Elephas maximus indicus: one gene and its partners. The protein of the gene in region 1 binds, or shares a complex with, the protein of each later gene. Links are inferred from orthologs where the notes say so. Each region holds a gene or a part of one and is shown in the gene's direction. Other genes may lie near its edges. The genes, in order: ACTR2, ARPC4, ARPC3 and ARPC2.

Region 1 (7,016 bases):
GCGGGTTCCAAACGCAGAGTTTCCAGTTGTCCTCTCCCCATGGAGTTGTGGGCAGCATTCACTCCTCCTGGTAAAAATCTGTGACAATACACACAGAGTACTGCTAACCAGGGAAGCTCATCTGAGGCTTGGTGTCCAGAGTTTTTAATTGAGCTCCATCATATAAACATGAATGACTGCCCACATGAATGATCTCAGTCTTCAGTCCCTCAGGAGGTGGTGGAGGTTGAGGTAATACTATGTGACCCAAAGGCACCCCTGGAAATCACTTTGATGCTATCTAGCTGGTCCAAGGCCCCCAGGTGTACAAAGATGCTCCTATGAGGCACAACATTCCTAGGGCTAAGAGATTACCTCCCAGAAGAGAAGGCAAAGGCCAGACCTCTCTCTTTGGGCAAGGTTAAATTCTTTAGAACACAACTTGCTTCCAACTAACTTGGTTTAATACTGTTTGTTAATATAAATACTTATCTTCGCAACATAAATAAAAATAGCTTGGAAGAAGTTAGATAATTGACAATATAAAGAAGTACTTTTCTGTCATAAGTACAAGCCTTTTGGTTTACTGACTTATAAACCAAACAATTAAATAAATCACATAGATGGCCCCTTCCTGAGTTTTTCAGGTACAGAATAAGAGAGCTAGATTAGATAGCTACAGTAATACTATCAGGTTGTAAAATGAGTGAACATCTTTGGATGGAATTAAAATTCTGCCCAAAACATTCTGTTATGGATTGAATCATGCCTCCCATAATTTATGTTGAAGTCCTAACCCCTGGTACCTGTGAATGTGACCCTGTTTGGAAATAGGGTATTTGAAATATTATCAGTTAAATATCAGACCATACTGAAGTAGGGTGGGTCCTAATCCAATCTGAGTTTGGTCCTATAAAAGAGGAGGAGAGACAGAGACAGACAGAGGAAAGATGGCTATGTGATGACAGAGGCAGAGTTGGAGTTATGCTGCAGCTGCAAGTCAGTGATATCTGGGGCTACCAGAAGTCAGTAAAGACAAGGAGGAATATTCCCCCAAAAGACCTGGGAGACAGCATGGCCTGACCAACATGTTGATTTGGACTTCTAGCATCCAGAACTGTGAAACAGTAAATTTCTCTTATTAAAAGTCACCTAATTTGTGGTATTTGTTATAGCAGCCCTAGGAGACTAATACAGATTCTGGTTCCAGAAAGGGGGATGTTGCTGTAACAAATACTAAAAAAAGTAGGAGTGGCATTGGAATTGGGTGATGGGTAGAGGTTGGAAGAGTTTTGAGACGCCTGATAGTCAAAGTTCAGAGTGCCTTCAAGAGACCTCCGGTGCGGGCTCAGAAAGAAGTGTAAACTGCAGAGAAAGCTTCTATCATGAACAGAATGTACTAGAAATGTGGACGTTAAATATGCTTCTGGTGAGACCTTAAAAGGCAATAATGAACATTGTTAGACCTTGCTAGCCTTACTTTTTTAAAGGCCCCAACTCCCCCATTTGTAAAATGGGGATATCTACCTAGCAAGGTTTTTGTGCAGGAAAACAGAAGGCAATGAGGCCCCCAAAATTCAATAACCTAAAATGTGAGGTCGCATTAGTAAGAAGTCAGTGGAATGACTAGGATGTGCCTGTCTGGTGGGCAGGAGCCAGTCACCAATAGTGTTGTATCTGGATCTACATCATCAAGGGGTTTTGCTGCATTTTCCATACTGTACTCAACAGGTATTTGCTGACATTTTCTACATTCTGCATGACTTGTTTTTAAAATCAGAAGAAAGTAATAAATGTTATTTCTTAAGAAGTAAAAATTAGTAATCCATTTCATCCCATAAGAAGGAAAAGTAAAAGACCACAGAAACGTTTGAGATCAATTTGCTAAGACCAATTAAATGTACTTCCAGGAAAACTGCACTGTGCTAGGCACTGGGGCCATAAAAGTAAGATATGGACTCTACTGGAGAAATTTATGAACTAATGCAGTATTTTTCAAGGTGTTCAGAAGGCTGAAGTACCTCAACAGCTGTTGAAGCAGGTGAAGGGAGAGCATATTACCCTGAGGCCTCCTACCCTCTCCCACTTCTCGATCTTCCAACTGCAGCTATGGCAGCTTTGCTTTTTACCTATTTGATATGTTGGGGTTCCATAAGATAAATTTGAATAAAGGATTCTATGCCTTTAAAAGTTTGAAAATCATTGGTCTAATAAAAGAACAAGGAGCCCTGCTGGTGCAATGGTTATGTGCTTGGCTGCTAACCAAAAGGTTGGTAGTTTGAACCCACCCAGTGGCTCTGCAGGAGAAAGACCTGGCAATCTGCTCCTGTAAAGACCGTTGTTGTTCGTAGGTGACGCTGACTCGGTTCTGACTCATAGTGACCCCATAGGAAAGAGCAGAAATGCCCCATAGTGTTTCCAAGGACAGGCTGGTGCATTTGAACTGCCAACCTTTCTGGTTAGCAGCCAAGCTCTTAACCACTACACCACCAGGGCTTCAAGCCTAGGAAACCCTATAGAGCTGTTGTACTCTGTCATATAGGGTCGCTAGGACAGCACCCGACAACAACAAATGAAAGAACTAAGTGAAAACAGGAGGCAGACTGGTATTATAGAAAGAATACTGTCTGGGGCTTCAGGATCCAAGTTCTACTCTAGTTGTACATGCTGTGCAGCCACGTAGAAGGTACAATTCTAGTTATCACATCTCTAAAATGTCATTTTCCTAGATAAACGTTAATGTCACTCATTCAATAAATACTTGTCCAGTGTAATAAGGTTACAACGAGGTTATTCATATATCCGTGCTAAAGTAATAGCAAAGAAAGGGAGTAAAGAGCATGTGGAGGATATCTTGATGTGATAAGTTGGGCCAAACCCACTGCTGTGGAGAAGATTCTCTCACAGTCACCCTGCAGGACAGAGTAGAACTGCCCCATAGCTTTTCCGAGGCTGTAAATCTTTATGGACTGCCACATTCTCCTCTGGAGTGGCTCGTGGGTTTTGAACCGCCGATCTTTCAGTTAGCAGCCGAACGCTTTTAACCACTGTGCCACCAGGGCTCCTCGAGAAGTTTCTCAGCTGATTAAAAAGAGAAAAAAAGTGGGGGCATTACAGATAGAGAGAACTGCACTGTTGAAAAGTATGGAATTAATAAACAGCTACCACTGAATGAATGCTTAGTCCATGCACAGAATTTTGTCCTCACAACAACCCGTGGAAGATGTCATCCCCACGCACAAACAAGGGTACACGCAAATCATAGAAGTCTTCATTGGCAGGGGCTGATTTGAAACTGGGGCTGTCTGATTCCAAAGCCAAGGCTCTGGTTCAAACATGTACATGTACCGCGCAGGTGTGAAGTAGCACGGGTGCTGCTGAGAGACGGAAGTGGTGAGCGAGGAGGCTGGAAACGTAGGCACTCGCTCTCGCTCTCTTTACTGTGGAGCAACTTGGGCAAAGGACGATTGGGCTGGAAATGGAGATATCAGTATAAATCCATGATTTCGAATAAATACGTGTGTGTATCTATCCCAGCTCTGTCTACTGAGAAGGCCTCGACTGGAAGCAATGACACACCAGGCCACGTTCAATGACGGGGTCTGCAAGGACTTCGGGTTTGCTCCCCGCCCTCCCAGCTGGCTTCTCTGCCACCTTCCATCGCCACCTCGCGGCACACCTGGTGCCCTTCACCTGCCTCCGCCTTCTGCATCGTGCAGCAGCACCCTCAGCTCCTGCGACGCCTTCGGGAGAAGGCCACAGACCCACCAGGTCGGCCGCCATTAACGCCCCAGAAACACCAGGAACCGGGCGCAGAAAGGAAGAACCTGTGTGGGCGGTGCCCGTGGCAGCGGCGCTGAAGCCCAGAGGGGTGGGCGGGGCCTTCGGCTCCTCCGTTTCTCATTGGAGTTTGTCCCTGCCAGTCGCGGCCTCCGCCCCACCTCCTCCGAGCCGGCCGTCCGGTAAAAGGCGGGCGGGGCGGGGCGAGGCGGGGCGGGGCGGCGACTTCCGGTTGGGGAAGAAAGTTGGGCCGAGGGAGGGGCCGCGAAGAGGAAGGAGAAGGAAGAGGAAAGGCCGGGCGGCGGTGTCTGTAGGTTGTGCGGCGACGGCGGCTCTCCCCCGGGCGGACGATGGACAGCCAAGGCAGGAAGGTGGTGGTGTGCGACAACGGCACTGGGGTAAGCAGCCGGCGGGGGAGGCGGTGGCGGGCACAGGCCCCGGAGGATGTGCGGGGGGCGCGGGGGCCCTTAGTGCCCGGGGCTCGCCTCTGGGCCCGGCCCGCCGGGGCGAAGGGGGAGCGGCCCGACGCTTCCCGCCTTCGCGGACTCGGGGAGCAGGCGGGCCAAACCCTCGGCCCCCGGAGCCCGCCACCCCTGCAGCCGGCCACCCCCGCAGCCCTCCCTGTCAGGGCTGCGGGCGAGGTCGGCGGCGGACGGGAACCCTACCTGCTGGCCCGGCGGGGGCCGGCTACGTGCACGCGCGGGGGCAATGTGGCCAAGATGCCCGGAGGGGTGAAAGGCAGGGTTTGTGGGATTCAAGATGGGTTCATCCCCAGGGTCGCCAGTGTGCAAAAAGGAGGAAGACCAAGAGGCCTTCCTCTTCCTGTATAGTTGAAGATACTGAACGGGAGGCAGGAAACGGGTTTAAAGAAAAAAAAAAAGGAAGTGCTGTCTGTCGTGCGCGCAGTGGGCCTCACCCCTTCGCAGTGAGGTTTTTTTTTTTTTTTTGAGGAGGGGGAGGCTCGTCTTTTTACTTTTTTCTGTATGTTGGTAATTTGGCCCCTTTGCAGTCCGGCGGAGACCACGTGCTCCATAGGATTATCCTGGGACATCTAAGACCCCACAAGGCCGCAGTGTTCATTCCACTGTCCTTGGGGGGATGGGAGTTAGTCAGTTTTGGTCTTCTGCCCCTTTTTTCCTTAGGTGCAGAATACAGATTTAGTCTTTAAGATCCTAAAATGCAAGCAATTGTAAAAATCCGACGAGAGCACTGATTTAGAAACTATTTGAAAGTTATTTCTTTCAAACGCCCTCCTATAATTAAAAAAAATGTATTTTGGGCAGCGGAGTCAATCAGCAAATTAGAAGATGGAAAGGTTACTTACTTTGGACGGGTGCTATACTGGTCATTTTCCCCTAGGTTACAGTGATTTCTAACCGTTTTGTAGTTGCAACGTTTTGTGACATATGAATTAAAATAGATTTTACTTATACTTTAAAATAAACACTTTGGAAACTGGATTGTTCAGGGTGAAAAATACCTGGTACTCACTTCCATACTACTGCCCTTGATTGAATTTGTTACGGATTTTTTTTTTTTTTTTTACAAGCAATAATTATACTAGTTTCATCTGAACCAAGTTACAAATTGACGAGAGTAAAAAGTTACCATATAACGGGACATCAATGCAAAATGGAGTACTTAAAAAAACGGCAGACCCACTGCTGTGGAAACATGTCTGAGATGTATCCTGAAGTTTTTTTAAAAAAAAGCTTTAGAATGATTCCATGTAATGTGTGCGTTCTTTATTAAAGATACTCATACGTCCACACACTGGTATCTATATTTAAAATTTTTGGAGGAATGCATAAGAAATGCCCATAGTGGTTGCCTCTGAGACAGGATAAGAGTAAGGGAAGTGGGGAAGAGGACAATTTTTTTTTACTATAAGCATGTATTACTTTTACAGTTAACTCAGTTAAAGGTGCTTTTTAAAAAAAGTAGTCTGATTTCCACTAGTCTCAAGCTGACCTCTAAATAAATTTAAAACTTTAAATTGAACTGAAATACTTTATTGTGTGAATAGGTCTGATATTCTCTTTAGAAATCTGAGCAACTTGTATTTTAATGGAGTTTCTCATCCTTGGGGGATTCTAGGCAACGAACCCTGTATTTGTAGTCTGTATTAGTGTTCTCATACTCTATTAGAATATGAATGTTAACTGTAAGGTGGCTCGTTTTTATCTTACTATTTTGTCAGTTTTGCTGATATTAGAAAGCCGATTGCATATATGTCATGGATTTGTTTTGTATCCATAATTTAAAATTCTAGTTTTTTAAGACAAAAGATCAGTTATGACATAAATGAGAAAAATGTAGTTAATTCAAATAAGAATGTATGTATTTGGTGTTGAGTTAAGGTTATTTTTGAAATTCATTCAGATTTTTTGTAGATAAACGCTTGGCTTAAAATGAAGAAACAGCTCTGGTAATATGTAATCAGGAATGCTGTGATATTTCTAAAAATTTGGAGGGTTAAGGACCACTTAGATTCTGTATTCTGTTTCTTACTGCTTATGCTTCTAGACTTGAATAGTCATCTTGATCTTATTTTATGTGCCTGAAGTCATAGTGTTTCCTTTACAATTACATATTAAAGAAGATATTCAGATTTAATTTCTAAAAATTATTTTTAAAAAAAAGCTACTACCCTGAATTATTGTCATTTGCCCTTTACACACTTGAGGTTTTAAAATTCTAATCTATTTGAGAAGTTGATGATTTTTTTAACCCATCTCACAGGCCCAAAATTGGATGCTCTTAGGAGTGGATGGGTTTTTATGATCACGTACCAGACACTGGTCCTGCTCCATTTCCTCACCAGCCCCCAACTAGACCACTGTTTCATTAGGGTGAGCTGTAGGAGGAATACTTAAAATTTATGTGCTTTGGCCTTATAACTGTTCAAACCTGTCGGCTAGAACAGAGCCCTTGAAAACAGACAGACAGACAAAACTCTGGAGACCTGTGGGGCTCTAGGTTTAGGTGCCTTTGAAGAGTTGGGCCCTAGAGTTGTGTGTATCCTGTTACCAAACTTGGATGGTTTCATCAGTAGTGAGTGAGTTCACCAACAACAGTGAAGACTTCCTGGGTGCCTACTGTGTGTGTTATGGCACAATGCATAAGATCTGGTGATACAAAGTAGTGTATGCTAGAATAATTATATTTTCATTTTTAATACACATTTGTGGTTGATAAAAAAAAAAGCCCCCAATGCTGTTGAGTCGATTCCGACTCATAGCGACCCTGTAGGACAG
Region 2 (7,730 bases), on another chromosome or scaffold:
TGGGGAAGAGCACGTGTAGAGACCCAGAGCCCTGAAGGCCCGTGTGAGCCTGGAGCCAGGGCAAGGTGCTTGGGGAGGTGGTGAACGCAGCCACAGAGAAGGGTGTAGCTGAGGAACAAAGATTGGGGCTGGGGCTGGGCTGCCAAGGATGAGACACTTGGACTTCACCCTGTGGGTAGTGGGAGCCAGGGGAGGCCTGGCAGCAGGGCTGGGTCATGAGCACATCCCATCATGACAGGTGACCTATAGGAGCCCCCCCGCAACTTCTCTGTATTTTCCACGTTTTATTTAGCGAAACGTGCCTTATTCTCATCACAAAAAATAAACCCTTATACCTATACAAAGAAAAAAAAAGCCCCTGGAAGCCTAAAAGTAGGGATGGTGTTAGGAGGCTGTATGGGTAAAAGCTGATGAAGGCTTGAACCAAACAGAAGGGAAGAGGATGAGGGCACAAAGGAGGACTCCACTGATGTAGACACTGCAGGAGGTGGAGACCACTTGGGTGGGGCTGAGGGGAGGCGTGCACAAGGAAAAAGTCAAGGTCGAGCATGGAGTCTGGATGGGTTTAGGGACAGAGGCTGGGCAGGGCTGGACAAGGAAAGTGATACATGTCTTTGATGTCTGATCTCTGACGCGTCTCTCACGCACCCTTGCTCTCTACCATGTCTACTGAGGTCCAGGGCTGCTACCTTGTAATGTTCAGCCTCATCTTCTGGGGGTTTCAGTAGCTCCTCTAGCGTGCGCACCTCCTCACTGGTGATATCTGCACAGTAGGGCTCCACTGAAGCCCAGAACCTGCGGAGAAAAGCAGATCCTGAATGGGCACTTCCTGCCCTATCAGCCTCAGCCCTGGACCCCTCCACTCCCAGAATCCTGAGGTCCCGTCTATGTCCTCCGGTCCAGAACCTGTTCGGGGCGTCATTCTTGGGGATCCGTGGCACGTCGATGGGGTCATCAGTGAATTCATATTCCTGGATCTTGGGCTGAAGATTTTTTGATTTGGGCCGCCCAGGGCCAGGGCCTGGCCCATGTCCCACCTTCCCTTCCAGTTTCTGCTTCTTGGGCTTTCCATGTTTGGGAGGAGCGCCAAGTTCATGGTCTCGACCTAGCTTCGGGAATCGTCGATCACCTTTCTTATCCTGCCAGTCTGTGAGGATCTGAAATTCACAGAGACTTATCACTCAGGGGGAGATGGAAAGACAAAGGACATTTTCCCTAATAAATAAACTAGGATCTAGAAACCAATAAGGCTTCCAAGTCTTTCCACCATCCTCCTACTCATCCTTCACGATCCAATTTCATTTCTCTGCCCTTGTCTCACAGGACTTTATTCACATACTTATTGTTCCATTCACTTGTTTAGCTCTATTCTGACTCCTCTCTGCCTCACCCAAGCAAGGCACATCATGTTTAGTAAAGGAGTCAAATAAATGTTCACGTCCCAGGACATGTTAACCCTGGGGAAGTATTCTGGTGGTAACTTTTTGGCGAAGGCAAGCAAGTCTCCCAGCAACCTTTTATTTCAAACGTCACCACAGCTGGGAAGTGTTCATCATACCAGTCACTCAACTTCTTAGATGATCAAATATAACTCTGTGCCACAGCCCTGCTCAAAATCTATCATGGATTCCCAAGGGCCACAAGTTACATCTATATATCCTGTGAGGCCCAGTGGAAATGGCATCCCCCTCCTTTGTGAGACTGGTGCTTCAGACCTCCACTGCAGACCCAAACATGTTGCTTGGTCATACTGGAATATGGCACACCCTCTCACTTCAGCTAGATTATAAACTACTAGAGACTGGAAGCTCATCTTCACTATCTCCATTGCCCAGGATCTGGCATGGTGCCTGGGACATAGGACTTGAGAGACATTTATATAGTGAATAAAAATAATCAAAGTAGAGTCAATAAATAACACTTGAAATGCTTCCTAAGTGTTAGACATAGAGCTGAGTCCTTGCAAGAATTCTTTTTATCCTCACTAAAAAAAAAAAAATTTTTTTTTTTTTTTTTAATGCTCTTAGGTAGGTCCTGTTACTGAGCCCATTTTGCAGACGGGGAAATGGATGCTCAGCAGAAACGTGAGGTAACTTTTTGAAGGTCACATAACTAGGAAGCAACAACAGTAGCAAGAGCTCAGTCCAGGATTCAAATCCAGATCTCCCTGCTCCGGTTCTCCTAGTATCCCTAACTACAACACGTTATCTGGTACGTGTCTGACCTCCCCCACCCTTTAACTGGCGAGTTGCCTGAGGACCAGAATTGTCTTAATTACTCCTTTAATTATTAGCACATGACTCAAAACGAGAAAAAAACTCATTGCCCTGGAGTGGATTCCCTCTCACAGGGACCCTACAGGACCAAGTAAAACTGTCCCTTAGGGTTGCCAAGGCTGTAAATCTTTAGGGAAGCAGATTGCCACATCTTTCTCCCTAGGAGTGGCTGGTGGGCTCGACCTGCTGATCTTTCAGTTAGCAACCGAGTGCTTTAACCACAGCACTACAAGGGCTCCTTCAGCTCATAATGGGGGGTAAATAAATGCTTAAACAAAAAACCAAACCCATTACCACCGAGTCGATTTTGACTCATAGCAACCCTATAGGACAGAGTAGAACTGCCTCGTAGACTTTCCAAGAAGTGTCTGGTAGATTCGAACTGCCAACTCCTTGGTTAGCAGCCGTAGCACTTAACCACTATGCCACCAGAGTTTCCAATAAATGCTTAGTGAATTATAAATCTTGCAAGTTATGAGGATCACGCACAATCTTGCAGATACAATACGCATGAATGTGCATGATCTTCATAAACTGCAAAACCTGTAATTCACTAAGCTTTTACCTTACCCCCACGTCCCATCCTTCTACCTCCCAACCCCCAACGTGCTGGGTCCTGTATTAGTCTACACACCCCCATAAGGCCCTGTACCCCAAGCCCCAGCAGGTGGAGCTAACTCAATGTCCCATCCTGCTATCTTGTCACAGTCCACCCCTGGCAATCCCCCCGCTCCATGACAAGGTCCAGCAGGTGGGGTATCACCTGGGTTTCTGCCTCCAGCACCCGTAGGCGCCGGCTCGCAGAGGAGAGCAGAGTCTCAAGCTCCAGCTGCAGGGTGTCCAGTTCCTCAATGCCAATGCCATCATCCTCGGAGCGGGCCAGCACTGCCGTGTAGCGGGGACAGACCTTCAGGTGGTCCACAGACTTGAAGTCATGGAACTGCAAGGGGCAGTCCTTCAGCTCACTCATGGCCCAGGATACGGAGCCCTGTGTAGCTGGAGAGTAAAGATTGACGAGGGACAAACTGTCACGAGAAAAGCCCAAGGGCTCCTTCCACTAGAGAGAGCTTCAACAAGGAAGTCAGATTTCAGTACCTTCTGACAATGCTGGTGGCTCAGCTCCTACTCACAGAGTACCCACTGTGTACCAAACTAGGTGCAGAGTACTTATAGGCTTATCTTGTGGAATTCATCACCCAACCCCAGGAGCAACAACCATTGTCATCTCTGTTCTACAGACAAGGAAACTGAGACTCTGTAAGGGTGGGCACAGGCCTAAGCTTACAGAAATGCAGTTTGAACCCAGGAAGTCTCATGTCTGTGGCCCTAATCACAACAATACAATGTACCCTGTTTTCCTGACACTGTTCCTTTTTGTCTCATCTCTCCTGGTTTCCAAGCATCTCATTTTTACAAAGTTTTCTGTGCTTCCCATGCTCTCCGTTGCCCACCTCCCCTTACCCAATTCTCTTTATCTATGTCCCTGATAGTGTCAGGAATGTGCGCTGGGTACCCAAGCAGCCCTGAGTTCAAGCTCAGCTTTTACCATTCTCTGCTTGTGGCCCTGAACATGTTATTTAATCTTTTTCCATCCGTAAAATGGGGACAAAAGAAGACAAGTCTATTTGTCTCTCTGAATCAGTTTCCCAGTCTGTAAAATGGGGATAACAACAGTACATACCTCCCTGGGATGTTCTGAGGATTAAGAGATGAGGCCCGTCAAGAGCTCAGCTCAGTGCCTGGCACAGAAAAAGTGGGACTGTTATAATGACTGGCTTCACCCATGGGTCGCCCCGTGCCCGCCCTCTAGGTACCCTCTAACGCGGCCCCCGCCCCCTCTACCTCCTCACTGCTGCCTCCTACGGCCCGGGGCCGCGGGAGGGGGAGAGGAGTTCCGGTCGGTGGGAGCAACCGCCCCGGAACTGGCGATGGGCGGGCCCCCTGCAGTTCGCCCGGGGGCGGGGAGACGGCTCGGGCAATCCCACTGTGGCTCCAAGAGGGGGTGCAGACCGCCAGCAAGGCCACTGCGGGTGGAATGGTACCCTTAGGGCGTACCCTAGAAAGCCTGGGGCTAGGGGCGGGGCTCAGCGGCCGGGATCTCGGCGCCAGGCGGCAGTTAGTCCCGGGGGCTGCAGGTAGGAGGAGCCGGGAGAAAGGATAGGGGCGCAGAACCGGAAGGAACGAAAGGATTCACCTCCTCACCCTGTCCTAATATGGTGCCCAACCTGAGACTGGGATGTACCATTGCATAACTATAGGAAGAGATTGTGGCTAAGGCGACAAGAAGGCCAAAGGCATAAGCGAGAACTATATGGATACCTGGAAAAGCTTGAGTTTCGATTTGCAACTTCCGTAGTCCAATACCATGATAGTTCTAGCGGGAAAACTTGCCAAGGATCTAAGTGTTCCTAGGATCCTCCTCCCCCCGCTCTGGAGCGGAGATAGTATCGTCCGGAAGTCCGGGCGGAGACTGCGGCTGCGCTTCTCGAGAAAGGGCAGGCGTCGCTGGGCCGGCCACTTCCGCACTTCCGCTTTCCGGCGCAGCCAGAGCCCGCGATGGTGAGAGAGCCGGGACCCGGGCCAGGGACCCCCGCCGTTCTGCTTCAGAGCTCTGGGTCTAGGGGAGACGCAGCTTTGCAGCAGAGGAGGCGCGGGGCCGAGGGATACCGGGGAGTGTGGGGGCGCGATGGGGCTGGGAGAAAGAGGGTGGGGCGGGGGCTGCTGTGAGGAGGAGGTGAGCGGTTGAGGGGGACGCCCTGGTAGGAAGCAGGCCTGTCGCTTCATGGTCCGGCTCCCGGAGCAGGTCGGGAATACTCGAGGCAGGGAGGAAGCCGGAAGTGGGACCTCCTAGGCCTGTGGAAGGCAGACACGTAGTAGGCCTCATAGCCCGTAGTAGGGCCGCTGAGGCATGTAGAAGGGCCAGCTCCCCACCCATAGTAGAACTGCAGTAAGTACACATAACTTTTCGTCTCCTAGCCAGTTGACCCCACCATTTCCCAAAGGAGGCGTTCACACTTCCTTATCCACTCTTCTTGGTACCCCAGCGCTGCTGCTACCCCACTGAAGGATCCGTTTGTGTTGCTTCCTCTCAGGCCCGGCCCTGGTCAGAACTGAACAGTGTCAGCCTTACTTTAGGATATGATACTGCTGATCCCTCCCTCCTTGGAGATCTTCCGTTTGATAAACGTGGTCGTTTCTGGGAGTTGTGACTTTGGCTCACTACCTTCCTCTCTTTACACTTCCTGGTGACACCTGTGTAGTCTCATGGCTTCAGTGACCTTGTGTATTTGGTGAGTCTTGAATCTGCCTCCCTTGCTCTGGCCTCTCTATCAAGGTTCTTTTGGAAATCTTGAACATACCTGGAAATCAGATCTCCAGATCAAAACTCATCTACCCTCCTAAACTTGCTTGATCTTCACCTGTGTTCTCTTTCCTAATTTTGTGTCCTCTCGGACCTCAGCTAGAACCTGCGAGGTTTTGTGTGTTTTTTTAACTCTTGTAATTGGCTCTTTTAAAGCAAGTTTATCGAGGTATTAGAAAAAAACTATGCCTATTTTATTAACGAAAGGGCAGGGGCGGGCCACCTAAAATTCACCGTTTTTAGGTTTAGATAGATAAGTAGCTGCTGTCGAATGGACTCCAACTCAAGGCAACCTAATGCAGAACAGAATGAAATGTTGCCTGGTCCTGCGTCGTCTTCACAATCATCTGCATGTTCAAGTCCATCATTGCAGTTCTTGTGCCAGTCCATCTCACTGAGGGTCTTGCTGGCCCTCTATTTCACGAAACGTGATGTTCTCTTTCAGCTGTTGATCATCCTGATGACATGTTGGACAGTGTTCTTTTGTGATTCATAAGGTTTTCATTGGCTAGTTTTTGGAAGTAAATCGCCAGGCCTTTCTTCCTGGTCTTCTTTAGTCTGGAAGTCCACTGAAACCTGTCTATCATGGGTGCCCCTTCTGGTATTTCAAATACCGATGCAGTAGTACAGCAAATTGACAGGTGGTGGCTTTTACCATGTGTGAATTTAGACAAACACAGGCATGTAACCACTACCACAGTCAACATTTAGAACATTTCTGTCATTCAAAAAAGTTTCCTTAAGCCCCTTTATAATGTCTTTTCCTTCCCCCCCACCTTAGGCAACTGCTGATTTTTTTTTTTTTGTATAGGTTTATTTCTTACGGAATGTCGTATAAATGGAGTTCTTTATTTTGTAGTCTTTTTAGTCTGGCTTCTTTCACTTCCCATAATACATTTGGAAGTCATTCATGTATAGTGTTCCATCATATGGGAGCACAGTTTTGGGCAGTTGTTTGATCCTCTTATGCTCTACATCTGTTAGTCTAATCTCTGTGATACCCTCTTTCTCCACTGCCCCAGGCCAGGCTCTCAACAGCACTTCTTAAATACCCCTTTCTGCGTTATGTCTCACTTCCCCCTCTAATCCATTCTCTGCAGAGCCACCATGCAGCTGCAGTCATGTAACTTCCTCCTCAGAAAGCCCCAACAGTCCTTACTGCCCCAAAAAAGCTGAACTCAGTAACTTGGCATTTGAAAATCTCCACGATCTTGCCACCTCTTTTACAGAATCAAATTCCCATATACAGCAACATTGTAGTCATTACCACTTCTGGAACTCTTAATACCCCTTTGTGTCATTCTAACTTTGCTGACGGTATTTCTGTCATTCATTCATTCTATAGAGAATGAGTAAGGCTCTTTGTGTTAGATACTGCTGACGTTATCGCTGTCATTCATTCACCCTACAGAGAATGAGTAAGGCTCTTTGTGTTAGGTAGTGAGCTAGATGCAGGATATATTGCTGTGAATAAACCAGACACGGTCTCTTCCCTCATGAGGCTTAGAGTTTGTGAAGGAAAAACTACAAAAGACAAGAAGAATGTGCCATCATGAATTGTAATAAATACTATAAAGGAGGAAAACCTGAGACATGAGATTGAATACAGTGGAGAGGCCTTTCTTGAATAAGCGGAGGTGGAAAGGTAGTTAGGCAAAGAGAAGAGAAATGTCTTATCAATAGATGGATCGGCATGTGGGAAGCCCTGGGGTGAGGAAAAACTTGGTTAATGTAAGGAACTGAAGATAGGCCAATGTACCTGGAAGGTCTACTGGGAACGTTCTTGTTCTATTTTTTGCTTTTAAATCCTGCTAATCCTATCTCTATCTTCAAATCAAACTCAGTTTCTTCTGCAGGTGGATTACTTATAAATCTAGTTATTTCACATTTCTTTGTATCATAGTCATTTACTTCGGTGTCTCCCCGACCAGGTTGAGAGAAATTTGAAGGTAGAGCTGGTCTCGATCATCTTGAATCCCCAGCACCTATTTCAGTGTGTAAGGAGCCCTGGCAGTGCGATGGTTAAGAGTTCAGCTGCTAACTGAACGGTTTGAACCCACCAGCCGCTCTGTGGGAGAGAAAAAACGTGGCAG
Region 3 (7,472 bases), on another chromosome or scaffold:
CAATAAATTAACTGATATGTCTAGTATTCCAGGCCATATGGGGATCTTAGAATTGTTCATGCCCTTTTGAAATTTCCCTTAGTTGGGGAAATCAGATAAATACCCATGAAGCAGCAAGTGTCCAGTTAAGTAATAAGCTAACAGTGTTCTAGTAGGTCAGAGGTCAGAAAAATCAATAATGATTTGCTGATGTTCCCTTTCCAGCTGTCTCCTTTGCCTCTCCCCTCCCCCTCCCACATTTGTAATTGGAAATACAAAAGGTTATAGAGCTCAAATGTAGGTTGAAAATGATGTATCTTGCACAGCTTCAGAGTGGATCTTTCTGAACTCCCCAACTTGCAGATCGATGACTACAGCATGGTGCGGTTCTTACCTTACGACCAGTCAGATGAAGAAAGCATGAACGTTGTATTACAGCATATTGATTTTGCCATTCAGTATGGAGAAGACTTGGAATTTAAAGAACCAAAGGTAATTTCCAAGCTTGGGCTGTTGGATGGCTTTTGGTGGCAATGGTTCCTGACACTCACTGGCCTCCTGCAAAACTCAGGCAACTCAGATTAATTTTTGTCTGAGAGGTGGCGGTGCCCCGGGCTTTCCTAGGTGAGCTCTGAAATTCACACCTGTGCTCAGCAGTCAGATCAGCTTTATTCCCCCTTTTGTTGAGACAACACGATTCAGCTAAGTCTCCTTGTAATCGGAGCTTGGGGGGTTTTGCAAAGACAAGAAGCTATGCTGTTGAGCTTGGGCTGCCCTCTCATACATCAGTGGAAAGACTGATGGTAGTCAGGCTGTTACCTGAGAATCAGTGTGAGTGACTGTAAACTCAAGGGAGAACTGCTTCTAATGACAGATAAGCGCTTTAATTTACCACATACCTGGAAAAATCCTACCAATCATGCCTTTTGTTACTCTTGGCCGTTACCTGTAAGCAACACCCAGAGCTGCTGTTGGGTGTTAGCTCATTAGAGAGTATCAGTGGGAAAATATGTAGATACATACCAGGTCTACCTGAGAGGAAATGAAATGCGTGTTCTGTTTTGTTTCCCTTGGGTCAGGAACATGAAGAGGAGTCATCTTCTATGTTCGATGAATATTTTCGAGAACGCCAGAATGAGTGAAGATTTTACTGAAAATTAACTGTGTACACGTGAAGAGCTTCTGGCTGAACCCACAAGACATTCTTCTCTTTAGAGGATGCAGTAGTAGAAAGCTACGTACTCTAATGGAAAAAAATACTACCGTCATGTACCACGTAACATCCATTCGGGCAACATCCAACTGCATATATGTCCATGGTCATGTAAGATTGTTGTTGGGGTTTTTTTTGAAAGGGGAAGCTGCTCTCCTTTTGTTTGTTACTTTATTTGTTGTAATGGCTTTAAAGACCCCAAACCCCCAGAGTGAATGAGCAGTGGGGTTCCAGGGCGCATCCCAACCCCTGCAGCACCTCGTCTTCCGTCTCCTCCTCTCCTTCCTCTCCTCCTGGCTTCGTTTACCCGTCCAGCAGCTGTGCGTCCATTCACTCCAGGTACAGGGCAGTGCCTGCCACAGCTCCTGCCGCGGTGCTGGCGGGTGGCTGGCGGGGTCTGGAGTGCTTGCAGGCTCCTGGCTCCAGGTGGCTGCACGTGATCAGGAAGCGGCCTCACCAAAACAGCAGTGGCAGCCAGAGCCGCCACCACCAGTCATGCTCCGTGGCATCTACACACCCTGTCCCCACCCCGCACCTGAACGTGCTCAAAGTCCCAATCTGGCTGCTGGTACAGCCCCAGGCCAGCCCACAGCCACATACCTGGCAGGGCCGGCCTCCTGTATCCAGTGAATACAGTTTTCAGGCAAGTCTCGTGGGTAGGTGGCGGCAGAGGCTGCTGGGCCTGGGCTGCTACTGCTCAGGCGATGGAACAGTGGGCGGGCTGGGGCCCATAATCCAGGGCCTGTCTGTGTGTAATGCGGTGTTCACACAGCATCCAAGTCGCATAACAGCCTATTTCACAGAATGTATCATGGTTGTTAAGCAACACGTGACTGTAATTGGCTCTTTGTCCGCAGATGCCTGAATCATGTTCTGAGTTATTCTGCTGCTGTTTAAAGTGGAATCATTTGGTGGTGTTTTAATTCCATCAGTTTAGGTTTTAAAAGTTGAAAAGAGTGTACATAGATTTGTATATAACATAAATTAGCACCTGGACTACATTTAAGACCAGACTAACATTTTTACTGTTTGGTTTCATTTTTGAGGGTTTTGGGGGCAGCGAGAATTACTGTAACAAAATATACACATGTATATATGTCCAAATGAAGAAATCTATGTCCAAATGAAGAAATCTAGAAGGATATAGATAAGGCTTTGCTTCTCTGTATCTTCAGTTTTTCTGCATTGAGAATGTTTTATTTGTACATAGGTAGTCCCCGATTCTTAAAACATGCTGGAGTTAGGACAAACTATACTTGTGACAGTCTGGTTTTTTTGTGTGTCCTATCACATTTTTATCACTGGTACCATGTACTGCATACACTGTTGCAGTGTATAATTGGCTGGTGCTCTCATCCTCAGAAGTTCACTCGCAGATGTTCAAAGGTCAGATTTATAAAGATACTGACAATAAAAGACAATAATAATGAAAACTTAAAAAAAAAAAAAAGAGGTATTGGAGTTACATCAGAATTGACTTCCGATGGACTCGCCTTGAGTCAAGGACTACCTGTAGTTAAAAAATTTAAATAACTATTTAAAAATGTATGCACCCACACACACAAAAGAAACAAAAAGGTAGCACTAGCCCTTCATTACACTCTTGTTTTCCAGTCAGAATTTGGAGCAGTCAGGGCACATTTTTGAATGAGTAGGTTTCACCCTTTTGTCAAAATGCAGGCAGTGATTTTTCTTTTTTTAAACAAAGTTTGTAGCCTGAGCATTTAAAATTTTGTACTTGCCTTGAATAATAACAAATACTAAAATTTTGAAAGATGTAACTTTTTTCTTTTTAATTCTTGCTACACTGAATTATGTAGACCCCTTCGAAAAGCTGCTGTTAGGGATTGAATTGTGTCCCCCAAAGAGCTAGCTAGCTTGAAGTTCTAAGCCCTGGTACCTTTGTCACTTGGAAATAGGGTCTTTGAAGACGTTATGAATTAATATGAGGGCATCCTGGAGTAGGGTGGGCCCTAATCCAATATGAGTGATGTCCTTACAAAAGAGAAGAGACAGACACAGGGCAGAATGCCATGTGGTCATGGATGCAGAAATCGGACTTGTGCTACAGTTGTAAGCAGAATGCTAGGGGCTACCAGAAACTGGGAGAGACAAAGGATCTTCCCCTGGAACCTTCGAACAGAGTGTGGTGCTGCTGACACCCTGAATTCCAATTTATAACCTCCAGAACTGTGAGGGAATAAATTGTTGATTCTGAGCCACTCACTTTGTGATACTTTGTTACAGCAGCACTAGAAGTCTAATAAGGCGCAGTTTGGCCAGAGACCTAGATGAGAAGTCAGCTGTAGGAACATGTGGCAAGTAGAGTGTTCCAGTTTGAAAGGCTGCCAGAAGAAAAGGCTCCAAGGCAGGAAGGAACTTGGCTTACGTGAGGTCCTTTCTAGGAAAGGACTAAAAACTACTGCACTATTCATATGTTCCAGCCATGCAAGTTCAAAGTATTTTGCATGTAATTCATTTAATTGTCAGAAAGCACGGTAGGTACTGTTATTTCCATTTTCAGTTGAGGAAATTGAGGCACAAAGAGGTTAAACCAAACCAAAGGTGTTGCGGTCACATTGATTCTGACTCAGTGACTCCTATAGGACAGAGTTGAGGTGCCGTGTAGGGTTTCCAAGGAGCAGCTGGTGGATTAGAACTGTCAACCTTTTGGTTAGGAGCCAAGCTCTTAAGCAGTGCACCACCGGAGCTCCATAAAAAGAGGCAGCGTGCCCACAGTTATGCAGCTAGTACATGTTAGAGCTGGAATTCAGACTCGGTGCACACTCAAGCTTGAAAGAATAAATGCGTGATTCCCTTCACTTGTTCTCCAGTTTCCTCATTTTTAAGAGTTCGGCTCATTCATTCAGCACATATTTATAGATGTTTACTATATACCATCAGTATTATGGGCCTGGGGAATAAGCAGGGAACCGAAGGGGCAAACCTCCTTCCTGACGCTTCCGTGGTGGGGTGGCACAAACATCGAATGTAAACTAAATAATAGAATATACGAGGAGTATTTTTTTTTATGAGAAAAGGTGGGAAAGAAGGACAGGTAAGGCGGGGTTGGACTGGGATTGAATTTAAAATAGGGCGGCCGGGGGAGGTTTCACTGAAAAGATGGTATTTGAGCAAAAACAGCAGGTCATTGATCACCGAGATCCTGTAACCTTAAGACCCAACTACCTTTCGTGCGCGCCTTATGCACGCACAACGGAGTCCCTGTCTAGTGCTCGGGCGCCCCCTGGCGTCCCTTCGGCTCCCCGCAGCCGCAACAGCCATCTGCGGGACAGAACGCCGGAAGCGCCTCGCCCTCCCCTTCCGGCTCACTTCCGCCTACCCCGCCCGGGCAGCCAGGCCGGAAGCGCGGCGCTCCAGCAGATAGTGCACAGTTGGGTCCAAACTCGGGCGCCGCGAAGATGCCGGTGAGGGGCCGGGCCAGGGGTGTGGGGAGACGGCGGGGGTTGGGGGGAGCGGTGAGCGGTCTTGTGCGCGCAGAGAGGAGCGGGCCGAGGAGGGCGGAGAGGAAGCGGGGGCCTGGGGGAGAGCGGAGGCGAGGAGTGGAGGCCTCGGTGCCGGCTTCGGGGCGGCCGGGGTGTGGGATGCGGGAGCCAGGAGGAGTGGGCCAGAGTCCCGGGCGTGCGGGGAGGCCGCCCCAGCACTTCCCGCCCCTTCGCTCCAATCCTGACCCCCTTCTCGCCCCTTCGGCTCTGCCCCCAAGCCCGGCAGAGTCCCTAAAGGCTCGCTGGAGCCGTAGCCAAGGGCTGGGCTTTTTACTTTTCGTTTTTTCAAGTCCAGGGACCGGCTTCTCCTTTTTCCTTGTCAGGCCCACTTCCTCCTCGGCCTGGGGGCGGTCCCTCTCGCTGCCTGTCATCTTTCAGACCCCACTTCCCGGACTCCTCCCTTGTCGCCTCGGCAGTGGCGTCCACCCCCCAGAACCCGCTCAAGGCCGGCGCCTGATTTACAAATGCTTCCGTTTTCCTGAGCTTCGAAATGGGAGTAAAAATTGATGAAGGTCTGGTTGTCCTTCATTTCTGACAGCCAGGCTACGGGGTTAAATTTATCGCCGTCATGATCGTCACTTTGCAGATAGGAAAGAAGAGGCTCAGTAACGTGTTTATTCATACAGCAAACATTATTGAGTACTTACTGCATGCTGAGCGCTCTTACAGTAGTAAGTCCAACAAACTCCTATTCTACTGAGGAGACGGTGAACGTGTAAACAGATAAAGGAGATCATTTTAGATAGTGACAAGTGCTGTGAAGGAAATAGGCAACAAGACGGTAACTGGTGAAGGGGAGGGCAGACAAAGTCTCTGTATTATGAGAAGGAGCAGGCCATAATTATAGCTATATATGTTATGAATCCTGTTTAGAAAACTCACAAAAACCGGTTACCAGTCGATTCTGTTCTGACTCATGGCGACCCCAGGTGTGTCAGAGTAGACCTGTGTTTCATAGCGTTTTCAATGACTGACTTTTCAGGACTAGTTCACCAGGCCTTTCTTCCTAGGGGCCTTTACGTGAACTCCAACCTCCAGCCCTTGTGTTAGCAGCGAGTGTGTTAACCGTTTGCACCACGCTGGAACTCCGGGAATCGTCTGGCTACCATTTATTGATCCCCGATGCGTGCGGGGCGTGCCCCCCTTTATTAGCTCCCAGAGTACCGTGGGCGTCGCCTGTGATTACTTATTTAACGTCTGTTTTCTCCATTAGCCTGAAAGCTCTCTCAGGGTGGGGACCAGACTGGTTTTGTATGCCACTGTATCACTATAGGGTTGCTGTGAGTCGGAATCGATTCAACAGCAGTGGGTTTGGTTTTTTTTTTTTTTTTTTTTTATCACCGTGCCTTGCACGTAGAACCAAAAAAAACTAAACCCATTGCCGACAAGTCGATGCCAACTCATAGCAACCCAATGGGACAGAGTAGAACTGCCCCCATAGAGTTTCCAAGGAGCGCCTGGTGGATTCAAACTGCCGACCATTCAGTCAGCAGCCGTAGCGCCACACTACTACACCACCAGGGTTTCCTGCATATAGAAGGTGCTTAGTAATTGTTCATGGAATGCATGAATGGGGCCCATGTTGTCTTACTTGTTAGAAGCAAAGCAAAGAATCAGCATGCTGACTGCTCTCAAAAATGTGGCTCTCTTTTTCTTCTTTTAACTCACCCCTACCCACTGAAGGGAAACCCTGGTGGCATAGTGGTTAAGTGCTACGGCTGCTAACCAAAGGGTTGGCAGTTCGAATCTGCCAGGCGCTCCTTGGAAACTCTATGGGGCAGTTCTACTCTGTCCTATAGGGTCACTATGAGTCAGAATCAACTCAACGGCACTGGGTTTGGTTTGGTTACCCACTGAACGTAGTATACCTCTTCTCGTTTTACAAATTGGGAAACAGACTAAGAGAAGAAATGTGACATCTTGGTGAATGACATAAAGCCTGGAAGTGGCAGAGCTGAAAAGCTAGTACTTGGATCCTGGCAAATATTGAACAAGCAGCGATGGGAGACTACCCCTAATTCATATAGTGTTTGCCAATTTCTGTGGTGTAGATACTCTTACCAGCCACCAGTGTGATGTCACTGAACATGGAATTGGGAGAAGATGCACAGTTGCACCCCAGTATATAGTATTTATACCACAAAGATACAAAAGATGTAACTGAGGGCATCAGCAATAATAAAATGTAATAATTAAGAAGTGATCAGTTTAGAGCTTTTTTAAAAACCTACAAAAACCTTTGTTTTAAATACAATTTATTTAATTGTAAGTTTATATAATTTAATTTTTAATAATGGCTGTGTTTAACAACCAGCTTGCAGTATTCCTCAAAATTGGCTCATGAGCTGGTAAGAGCCAGCTCCAGCATACCCCTGCTGCCTTCTTTTTCTCCCCTAGTTAATCTTGGATGGGGTCGCCTTTTTTTTTCGTCTGGTCTCATGACATTTGCACTCTTTCTGCTTCCATATTCTTACCTGGCTTGCCATTACAGGCCTACCACTCTTCTCTCATGGACCCTGACACCAAACTCATTGGAAACATGGCGCTGCTACCTATCAGAAGTCAGTTCAAAGGACCAGCCCCTCGAGAGAGTAAGTCTAAATGCTTTTCCATCCCTTTCAGATTTGGGCGTAGAATGCCTGGCAACCCTCTGACATTATCAGATCAAGGCAGTTCTCGTCTCAGTCCTATGTCTCACGTTGCTCCTATACTTCCTATCCCTTGGCGATGCTGTGTTCTAGGCCTTTCATGATCACTGTTAAATGTGTTGCATC
Region 4 (7,160 bases), on another chromosome or scaffold:
TTTAAAACCATTATTTTTTGGTGGTAGCTTGTTACCCAGCAAGAGATAACTGAAACAATCCAAAGATAGAATCCTGAGGAGTTCTAGTTTAGCCAGCCTCCAACATGACCCCTAATGATCCCTTCCTCCTGGTATTCATGCCTGTGTGTAGTCTTTTCCCACACTGTATTAGGGCTGGTCTGTGTGACCAAGATAATACAACAGAAGTGATGGCAGGCTATTTTATAAAAACACTGTGGCTTCTGCCTTGTTCACTCCTGGATCATTCACTCAAGGGAAGCCAGCTGCCATGACCTAAGAAGAGGAACTGAGACTTAGTGACATCAGCCAAGGAGTGAGCTTGGAAGCAGATCTTCTAGCCCCAGTCAAGCCTTTGGATTACCGCAGCCCCTACTGACATCTTGACTGCAATTTCATGAGAGATCCCGAGCCAGAAAAATCCAGCTAAGCCACTCCCAAATACCTGACCCACAGAAACTGTGAGATAATGAATGTTTGTTGTTTTCAGCAGCATAACTGGGGGTAAATTGTGATGCAGCAATGGATAACTAATAGAATGTAACATTTTTCATCCGTTATGTATATAAGCAGTCTCTTGTGGGAGCCTGAGTTAACAGGAATTCAGTTTGACTTACTGATGTTTTAACGTCCCTCATAGATTGATACCCTGGTGTCACGGGGCTAGGCTGCGTGTTATTCCTGCCTGGTCTCCAAAACATCTTTCACAGGATGGCCAGAATGGGCTGATCATGCCACTCCCCTGATCAAAACCCTTCCATGGTTTCCCATTGCCCAGCTTCTACCCATGTTACCAAGTAGTTTCAACAGAAGAACCAGATGGTGATATCCCTGGTCTAGTGGCCAAACAGCAGATTAGTCCAGTGGTACAGAGAAAAAGGCCCAAAGAGTGACCAAGACTGATGGCCAGGTCTCCGATGGCATCTCCTTTGGCTCCAAGGCCTTTGTCTCATTTCCCCTCTCCCCTAATCTCAGGACTACACCCAACAACACTCTCTCCCAGCACTCTAGAGAACACTGCCAAACAACTCACACTAAAAGCCATTTTTAAGAGAGTTGGAATGTCTTTAAGACTATTAAGGAGAATATTTAACATTTGAGTCTGAGACGTTAGCATTTGGATCATTCCATCTATGCTCAGCTACCCTAAGGATAGGGCTTGACTTACAACTGCAAGACTGTAAGGGTTCTGTAAAGCAATTCCTCCCAGAATAACCATCTGCTCCTTATTTTGTCTTGACCCCACAGGAAACACAGAGCACACTCAAGATAGGATAATTCAAGGAGGGTGTATTTACAAAGGACTATTTAAAAAATACTGGGTATTTTCGGGTTTAAAAATATGTGGGTATAAGAGAATCACAAGACAGTGCAGTAACCCAGGACTAGTAGCAGCCAAACTAATACTGCCCCTAGGCCCAAAAGGATGAGGGGAGGGGTCAGTTATCAGGACCTGAAAGGAAGAAGAGAGTGGTTCTGACTGAGGTAGAGCAGTGACATTTGGTTGAGGGACATAGCCAGCCTGAGGGAGTCTCTGTATCTCTTTCTTTTCCTGCTGGGGCTCCCTATTGGCCAACCAAAAGCCAAAGGGCAAGGGGGCCCAGCTGATGTGGGGATGGAAAAGGGTGAAGAGTGGATCTGGAGGACGAAACAGAGAATAGCCAGACAGCCCTCCAAGATGAGCTCCAGCCTCTATCTTTAAGACTGAAAGCATCAGATTTCTGGCTATCCTTGAAGAATCGCTTTCCCTATTTAAGCCATCAGGGTTCGGAAGGGTGACAGTCCAGTCAAGAAGTTGTCATTATTTTGTAAACGGATATTGACAGATCCAGTTTCTCACACCTTGATTTTATCAAACTCCAAACTCAAATACAGAACTATCCAGTTCATTTCTGTATACTAGTATTGCATAGTGGTCAAGAGCATGACCTACAGAGTCTAAATATCAGCTGAGCAACCAGCCAAACCAACCCAGACCACGATGAAGGAATATCCCAGAATGGCGGCTGTGCAGCAAGTCTACAGAGCAATTAATCTAGATTGAAATAAGAGGAAGGAATGTTCTGGGACAAAGACTTCAGAGAAAAATGAAATTTATATTTTTGAATATACAGAAAATATTATTGGTAGGTTTTTTTTTTTTTTTTTTTACGCAGAATCTTAGAGCACTTGGGAGGAAACAGCCAACTATAAATATATAGAAAATCAGACAAGTAAGGGTAAAAAGGCAATAATTAACCTAGGAAAAACTGAAAGGCTGTGTAAGCTAGAAGGCATGCATACAGTGCATTTCTTGGCTCCTCAATGATCAATATTTGCATACATAACAAACATTGATTATTGACTTAACCAAAAATTGTTTCTTCAGTATGTGTGGATGTGGGGGTAGGGAGGAGGAGAAGTGATGGAGACAAATTCTCACCTACCTTGGCAGGAAATCAGATAATGCTCAGAATTAACAAATCAAGAAATAGTGGTATAAGCATTTATTTAGAAATGTGGTGATAAATAGCAGGATGAATAAGAGGATATTGCCTCTGAAGAGCGGGCCAGGGAACTGCTTTTCTCACTGCAAGTCTTTTAATATTAAACCCAGTGCCGTCGAGTCGATTCCAAAGGCTTTTAATATCAGAAACCAAAAAAAAAAAAAAAAAAAGTTGTCGTGGAGTCAATTCTGACGCAAGGGGCGCACTGGTTAAGAGTTGGGCTGCTAGACAAAAGGTCGGCAGTTCCAATCCACCAGCCGTTCCCTGGAAACTCTATGGGGCAGTTAGTTCTACTCCGTCCTGTAGGGTTGCTATGAGTCAGAATATACCAGACAACAACGCGTTAGTTATTTTTAAAGTGTGTATGCGTTGGAAACCCTGGTGCCATAGTGGTTAAGTGCTACGGCTGCTTTTAGGTTCTAAAAGGTCAGCAGTTTGAATTCGCCAGGAGCTCCTTGGAAACTCTATGGGGCAGTTCTACTCTGCCCTACAGGGTCGCTATGAGTCGGACTCGATAGCAGTGGGTTTTTTTTTTTTTGGTATATGCGTTACTTTAATACAATAAATATTTTTAACACGTTAGCATATAATTTGGTAGGATCTGCAATTTCCTGAAGCTTATCCATGGCCCATAAGAAATCTTTTCTAAAGGGCTGTCTAGGCCTTGTTGATAGGGGTTAGTTTTGTGTTCCTTTTCTTGGATCCCTCCTCCCCTCAGAACACTTAACAGAAAATTAAGTATTGCATGTAGAAGGGACTCATCTAAGTCTCTTAGTCTCCCTGGGGTGGGGAGGGGGAGGGGCGGCAGATACAAAACAAGACACACAGGCGGAAGGTGCAGATGTACCACAAAGGTGAGTTCAGATTCTGCCTGAAGATGAGGTGGACGGTATGTCTCTTGCAGAGGTACTGGAACGTGAAGGTTTCCAAGGCAGAAGAGATTACGTTCAGAGCCGCGCCCGGAAGCTGCTCCCCCAGGCACAAAAATGGAGGCGTGACAGGAACCCAGGGAGGTCCATCTAAGTTGCATATTCACCTCAGTGACTTCCCATTTCTTTCTTTTATTGTCCTTTTAACAGTTTGAAGTTATATACTTCAGCGTTTACTTGTTTGTTGTCTGTTTCCTTTACCAGACCATAGGCTTCATGAGAGCAGGGCCGCGTCTATTTTTTTCACCGCTGTATCCTCTGCACAGAGAGGAAGCCCACTAAATATTTGTTGAGAAACGAAAAGGTAATGGTGCAGCTAGGCAGCCATTAGCGCGGATGAGGAAGGGATACCGAGAACGAACAGGCACCAAGAGCAAAGGGGAGATGAACTGGGAGATGACAATGGGAAGCTTCATGCGGGGATCTCTAAAATGACTAGACCGGAAAGGTAGAGCTGGACCTCTGGGACAAGCGGGAGGGAGGCGACGGACAGTGAAGAAGGCCTCAGAGAATGACAGCTGGGTAAACCACATATTTGAAGGGGCTGGATGTAAGGGGGTCTGTGGGAAAGTGGAGGCGGGACGACGGCATCACGAGTGCGCAAGCGCGGCCTCGGTCCGCAGGCGTGCCTGCGTGCGCGTGCACGAGGGGTCGGAGCGGAATTGGCGCCGCGGGGCCGCGCGTAGGGCGGCGAGCGGAAGTGGGTGTGAGAGCGGAAGTGACCGGCTAGAGCCGGGGGCTGGGCGGGGACCGGGCTTGTTGGTGAGGCGGCGGCGGCGGCTCGGCAGGCGGGTTGAGGCTTCCGGGGCCAGGTCGGTCGGGTGGGTGGGTGGGTGTCTCCACAGTGTGTGCGTGCGCGGGCTAGCGCGCGTGTCCTTCCCTTCCCCCCCATCCCGGCCCCTCTCCCCTTTTCCCTTCACTTACTACTCCACCCAGGCCCCCTTGTCAGGGGCAGCAGGGCCGCTCCCTCTGTCCTTCCCTCCTTTACCCATCCTCACCCGCCTCGTTTCTCCTTCCCCTGCCCGGGGCAGCCGCCGCCATGATCCTGCTGGAGGTGAACAACCGCATCATCGAGGAGACGCTCGCGCTGAAGTTCGAGAACGCGGCCGCCGGGTGAGCGCGCGCCCGGGGCCAGGGGTGGCAGCGGAGGCAGAGCTCACCCCCGCCAATCCCCAGTATCATCCAGGGTCCCCACACCTGGAGGAGGGAGATGGGGGGCCTGGCAGGGTGTGGGGGCCGCCCTGGCGGTGGAGACGTGGGCGCGGCGGGGTGAGGGGCAGAGAGAGATGCGTGGGGCGAGGCTCAGAGGAGGGATGCGGAAGCAGTGAGTGGACAGTAGTGCGCGTGCCAAAGGGAGACCTGTAGGGCATGAGGGCAGCTTGGGCCTGAACTCACTGGAGGATGCCTTTGCCCTCTGGAGCGAGGAGGGGACCCCTTCCCTCTGTTGTTCCCGTCATTGTTCTGAACCCGAAGAGAGCCCATTTGGGATTGGGTTGGAAGTTTTCAGGGATTCCCAGGAATGGAGGAGGGAAGAAGATACAGGCCTAGATTAGCACCTGCATTCTTGCTCTCCACCCCACCTCCTCCCTAAAGGAGCTAGAGGGAAGACTGGAAGCACTGGCTTCCTTCCCATCGATTCCATCTCCCCAATCAGACCCAGCCGTACAACCGGAAAAACGCGATTTCTATAATTTCCCTTTCCCCGGACCCTACTGTAAGAAGAAACTGGCCATTTTGTTACATATTTCTCAGAGTTGACAGTCCCTCCATCCACATCCATCCATTCCTTATCTGTCTTCTGAGGTTCTAATGCTACTTTCCCCACCCATTAGCCATTATTTGGTTATCTTGAAATTCTTGGTGCAGGACCCCTGGCCCGTGATTTCTTCTGTGATAGTCTTGGCCCAGTGACACACTTCTGAGCCGCCTAGGTCTGTAAAGTTCTTAGATAACCTTCATTGTTGGCCTTTTTAAAGATGGGCTTAGAACATTTTTCTAAGGCAGTCTTCTCAGTTGAACACAAGCATCAGTAGAAGACAAACAGCCCCCTCCCCCAGAGCTGCTTTGGGTTTCTAATATAGTATTTAAAATATGAGGCCAAGGAATTGGCTTTATCTTCTAATTTTTAGTGGCCTGTGGCCAGTCCTTTTGCTTCATTTCCCCATCTGTGAGGATGGGGCTTCACATCTTAGTTTCAGTTGAGGAACTGGATGCAAAGTGTCTATGATGAACTGGGAAGTAATAATAGGAAAGTAAATGCTTAGAGATCCACAGATGGGAGAGGCTTGCTGGAGGGGACATTCTGAGTAATCGTAATGGACTTGTGGCTTGGAGGCAATTAAAAAAAAAAAAAAGCTCTTCTAACTCACTGCTTAAATTGAATGTATTGTGAGTCTTATGAGTCTTATCTATTTTTTAAGCCCACAGATTTTATCTGTAAAACAAAGCACGGACTATTCCTTGAAGTAATGACATGCAGTGAGCAGTACTGTTTCTTGCCAGGGATGATAGTCGCTTATATTTTAGGCTAACTTGCTTCTTCTTTTCAGTCTATCATGCCATTTCCTTTGCACTTTAAATAATTCAAGTGAATCAGCCTAGGGTCTTTTTTGGGTGATTGCTGTGTACTTTTTTTGAGCAGTGTAGCACATAGGAGGAAGTTGAGCTAACTTCTGCATTTTCACAACTGATCTTAATGCATTCTCAAGTCCAGACTAGCAAAGAATGAGACCTGAGTGGCTGTAAGCAGATCCGCCTGTGGATTTTCAAGTAGAGGCCTGCCTTGTATGCAGGAGTACCTTCACATCTATTTGTGTATTAATAACTTGTGATTCCCAAATGTGGCCCATTGTTCAGAACTTCCAGCTGGTTTTCTTTTAGAAAATTACTCTTAGAAAGAGCAGCTAACCATTTCAGAGGGGTTAAAGCAGGCCCTCAAGTCAGGAAGGGGTAAGTTAGAACTTCCAAGACATTCGTTAAAAGATTTGTGTTGTATTGATGTTGGATATGAGGGAGGGTGTTGAGCTTTCGCTTTTATTGTATGCCCACTTATTTAAAGTAGTTTAAATAAGTGGGCTTAAAACATATTCTGCTGAAAAGCTCTTGGGAAATCTTTGAAAAGAGACCGTAATATTCAGACCTACTAGGTAGGGCTTTTCTGGGATTGCAGATGTACTCTAAGCAGAAGCCTAATTTCAAGCCAAGTGTGCTTTTCCAGGCATACCAGTAAGGTAAGGCACCGATGAAGCAGTTAAATATTTATCACAGTGCATGTCTACACCAGAACTTCCACAAAGGATGACTGCTATGAGAATCATAAACATATATGGGATTCTGCCGGTACTCAAAGGAGCCTTGGTGGCACAGTGAGTGGTTAAGCACTTGGCTGCTGACCGAAAGATTGGAGGTTTGAACACACCAGTCGTTCTGCGGGAGAAAGATGTGGTAGCCTGCTTCCGTAAAGATCACAGCCTTAGAAACCCTGTGGGGCAGTTCTGCTCGGTACTATAGGGTCGCTATGATTCAGAAATGACTCAAGGGCAGTGGGTTTGGCTTTGGTTTTTACCAGCACTCAACACCAGGCAGGAGCAAAAAAGAAAAAAAGAAGCCGGCCTTTCTGAGAGAGCATGTTGGCAAAGTTACAGAGAAGCTAAGGGGTGAGATGTGCTGGGGTGGAAGATAGAGAAAGACCTTAAAGAAAAATGCTGAGAGTTTGAAAGGTGGTGCC

The links.
Region 2: the proteins of ACTR2 (region 1) and ARPC4 are in contact, whole or in part, in a cryo-EM structure (PDB 6YW6), measured with the Homo sapiens proteins. The link is inferred for Elephas maximus indicus from reciprocal best matches to the Homo sapiens genes ACTR2 and ARPC4. Residues at the interface, in NP_005713.1 of Homo sapiens: Tyr222, Val223, Tyr225, Gln229, Glu230, Lys232, Leu233, Ala234, Leu235, Glu236, Thr237, Thr238, Val239, Lys253, Thr308, Met309, Tyr310, Pro311, Gly312, Pro314, Ser315, Asp346; in NP_005709.1 of Homo sapiens: Val29, Val30, Glu31, Arg32, His33, Lys35, Pro36, Glu39, Val40, Ala98, Glu99, Asn100, Phe102, Ile103, Leu104, Arg105, Arg106, Lys107, Leu117, Thr119.
Region 3: ACTR2 (region 1) and ARPC3 share a complex: the UniProt entries of both Homo sapiens proteins name them as parts of the arp2/3 complex. The link is inferred for Elephas maximus indicus from reciprocal best matches to the Homo sapiens genes ACTR2 and ARPC3.
Region 4: ACTR2 (region 1) and ARPC2 share a complex: the UniProt entries of both Homo sapiens proteins name them as parts of the arp2/3 complex. The link is inferred for Elephas maximus indicus from reciprocal best matches to the Homo sapiens genes ACTR2 and ARPC2.

The regions. Positions count from the first base shown.
Region 1 is NC_064835.1:71,461,555-71,468,570, reverse strand, and holds the start of ACTR2 (actin-related protein 2), read left to right. Parts: upstream 1-4,013; 5' UTR 4,014-4,109; coding exon 4,110-4,157; intron 4,158-7,016. UniProt on the Homo sapiens protein: ATP-binding component of the Arp2/3 complex, a multiprotein complex that mediates actin polymerization upon stimulation by nucleation-promoting factor (NPF).
Region 2 is NC_064838.1:34,765,304-34,773,033, forward strand, and holds the start of ARPC4 (actin-related protein 2/3 complex subunit 4), read left to right. Parts: upstream 1-4,728; 5' UTR 4,729-4,832; coding exon 4,833-4,835; intron 4,836-7,730. Other genes in the region: TADA3 (transcriptional adapter 3), read right to left, coding at 690-795, 907-1,157, 3,040-3,246. UniProt on the Homo sapiens protein: Actin-binding component of the Arp2/3 complex, a multiprotein complex that mediates actin polymerization upon stimulation by nucleation-promoting factor (NPF).
Region 3 is NC_064840.1:9,035,983-9,043,454, reverse strand, and holds the start of ARPC3 (actin-related protein 2/3 complex subunit 3), read left to right. Parts: upstream 1-4,471; 5' UTR 4,472-4,614; coding exon 4,615-4,620; intron 4,621-7,189; coding exon 7,190-7,289; intron 7,290-7,472. Other genes in the region: GPN3 (GPN-loop GTPase 3), read left to right, coding at 343-471, 1,059-1,121. UniProt on the Homo sapiens protein: Component of the Arp2/3 complex, a multiprotein complex that mediates actin polymerization upon stimulation by nucleation-promoting factor (NPF).
Region 4 is NC_064824.1:116,784,060-116,791,219, forward strand, and holds the start of ARPC2 (actin-related protein 2/3 complex subunit 2), read left to right. Parts: upstream 1-4,143; 5' UTR 4,144-4,245; intron 4,246-4,464; 5' UTR 4,465-4,472; coding exon 4,473-4,546; intron 4,547-7,160. UniProt on the Homo sapiens protein: Actin-binding component of the Arp2/3 complex, a multiprotein complex that mediates actin polymerization upon stimulation by nucleation-promoting factor (NPF).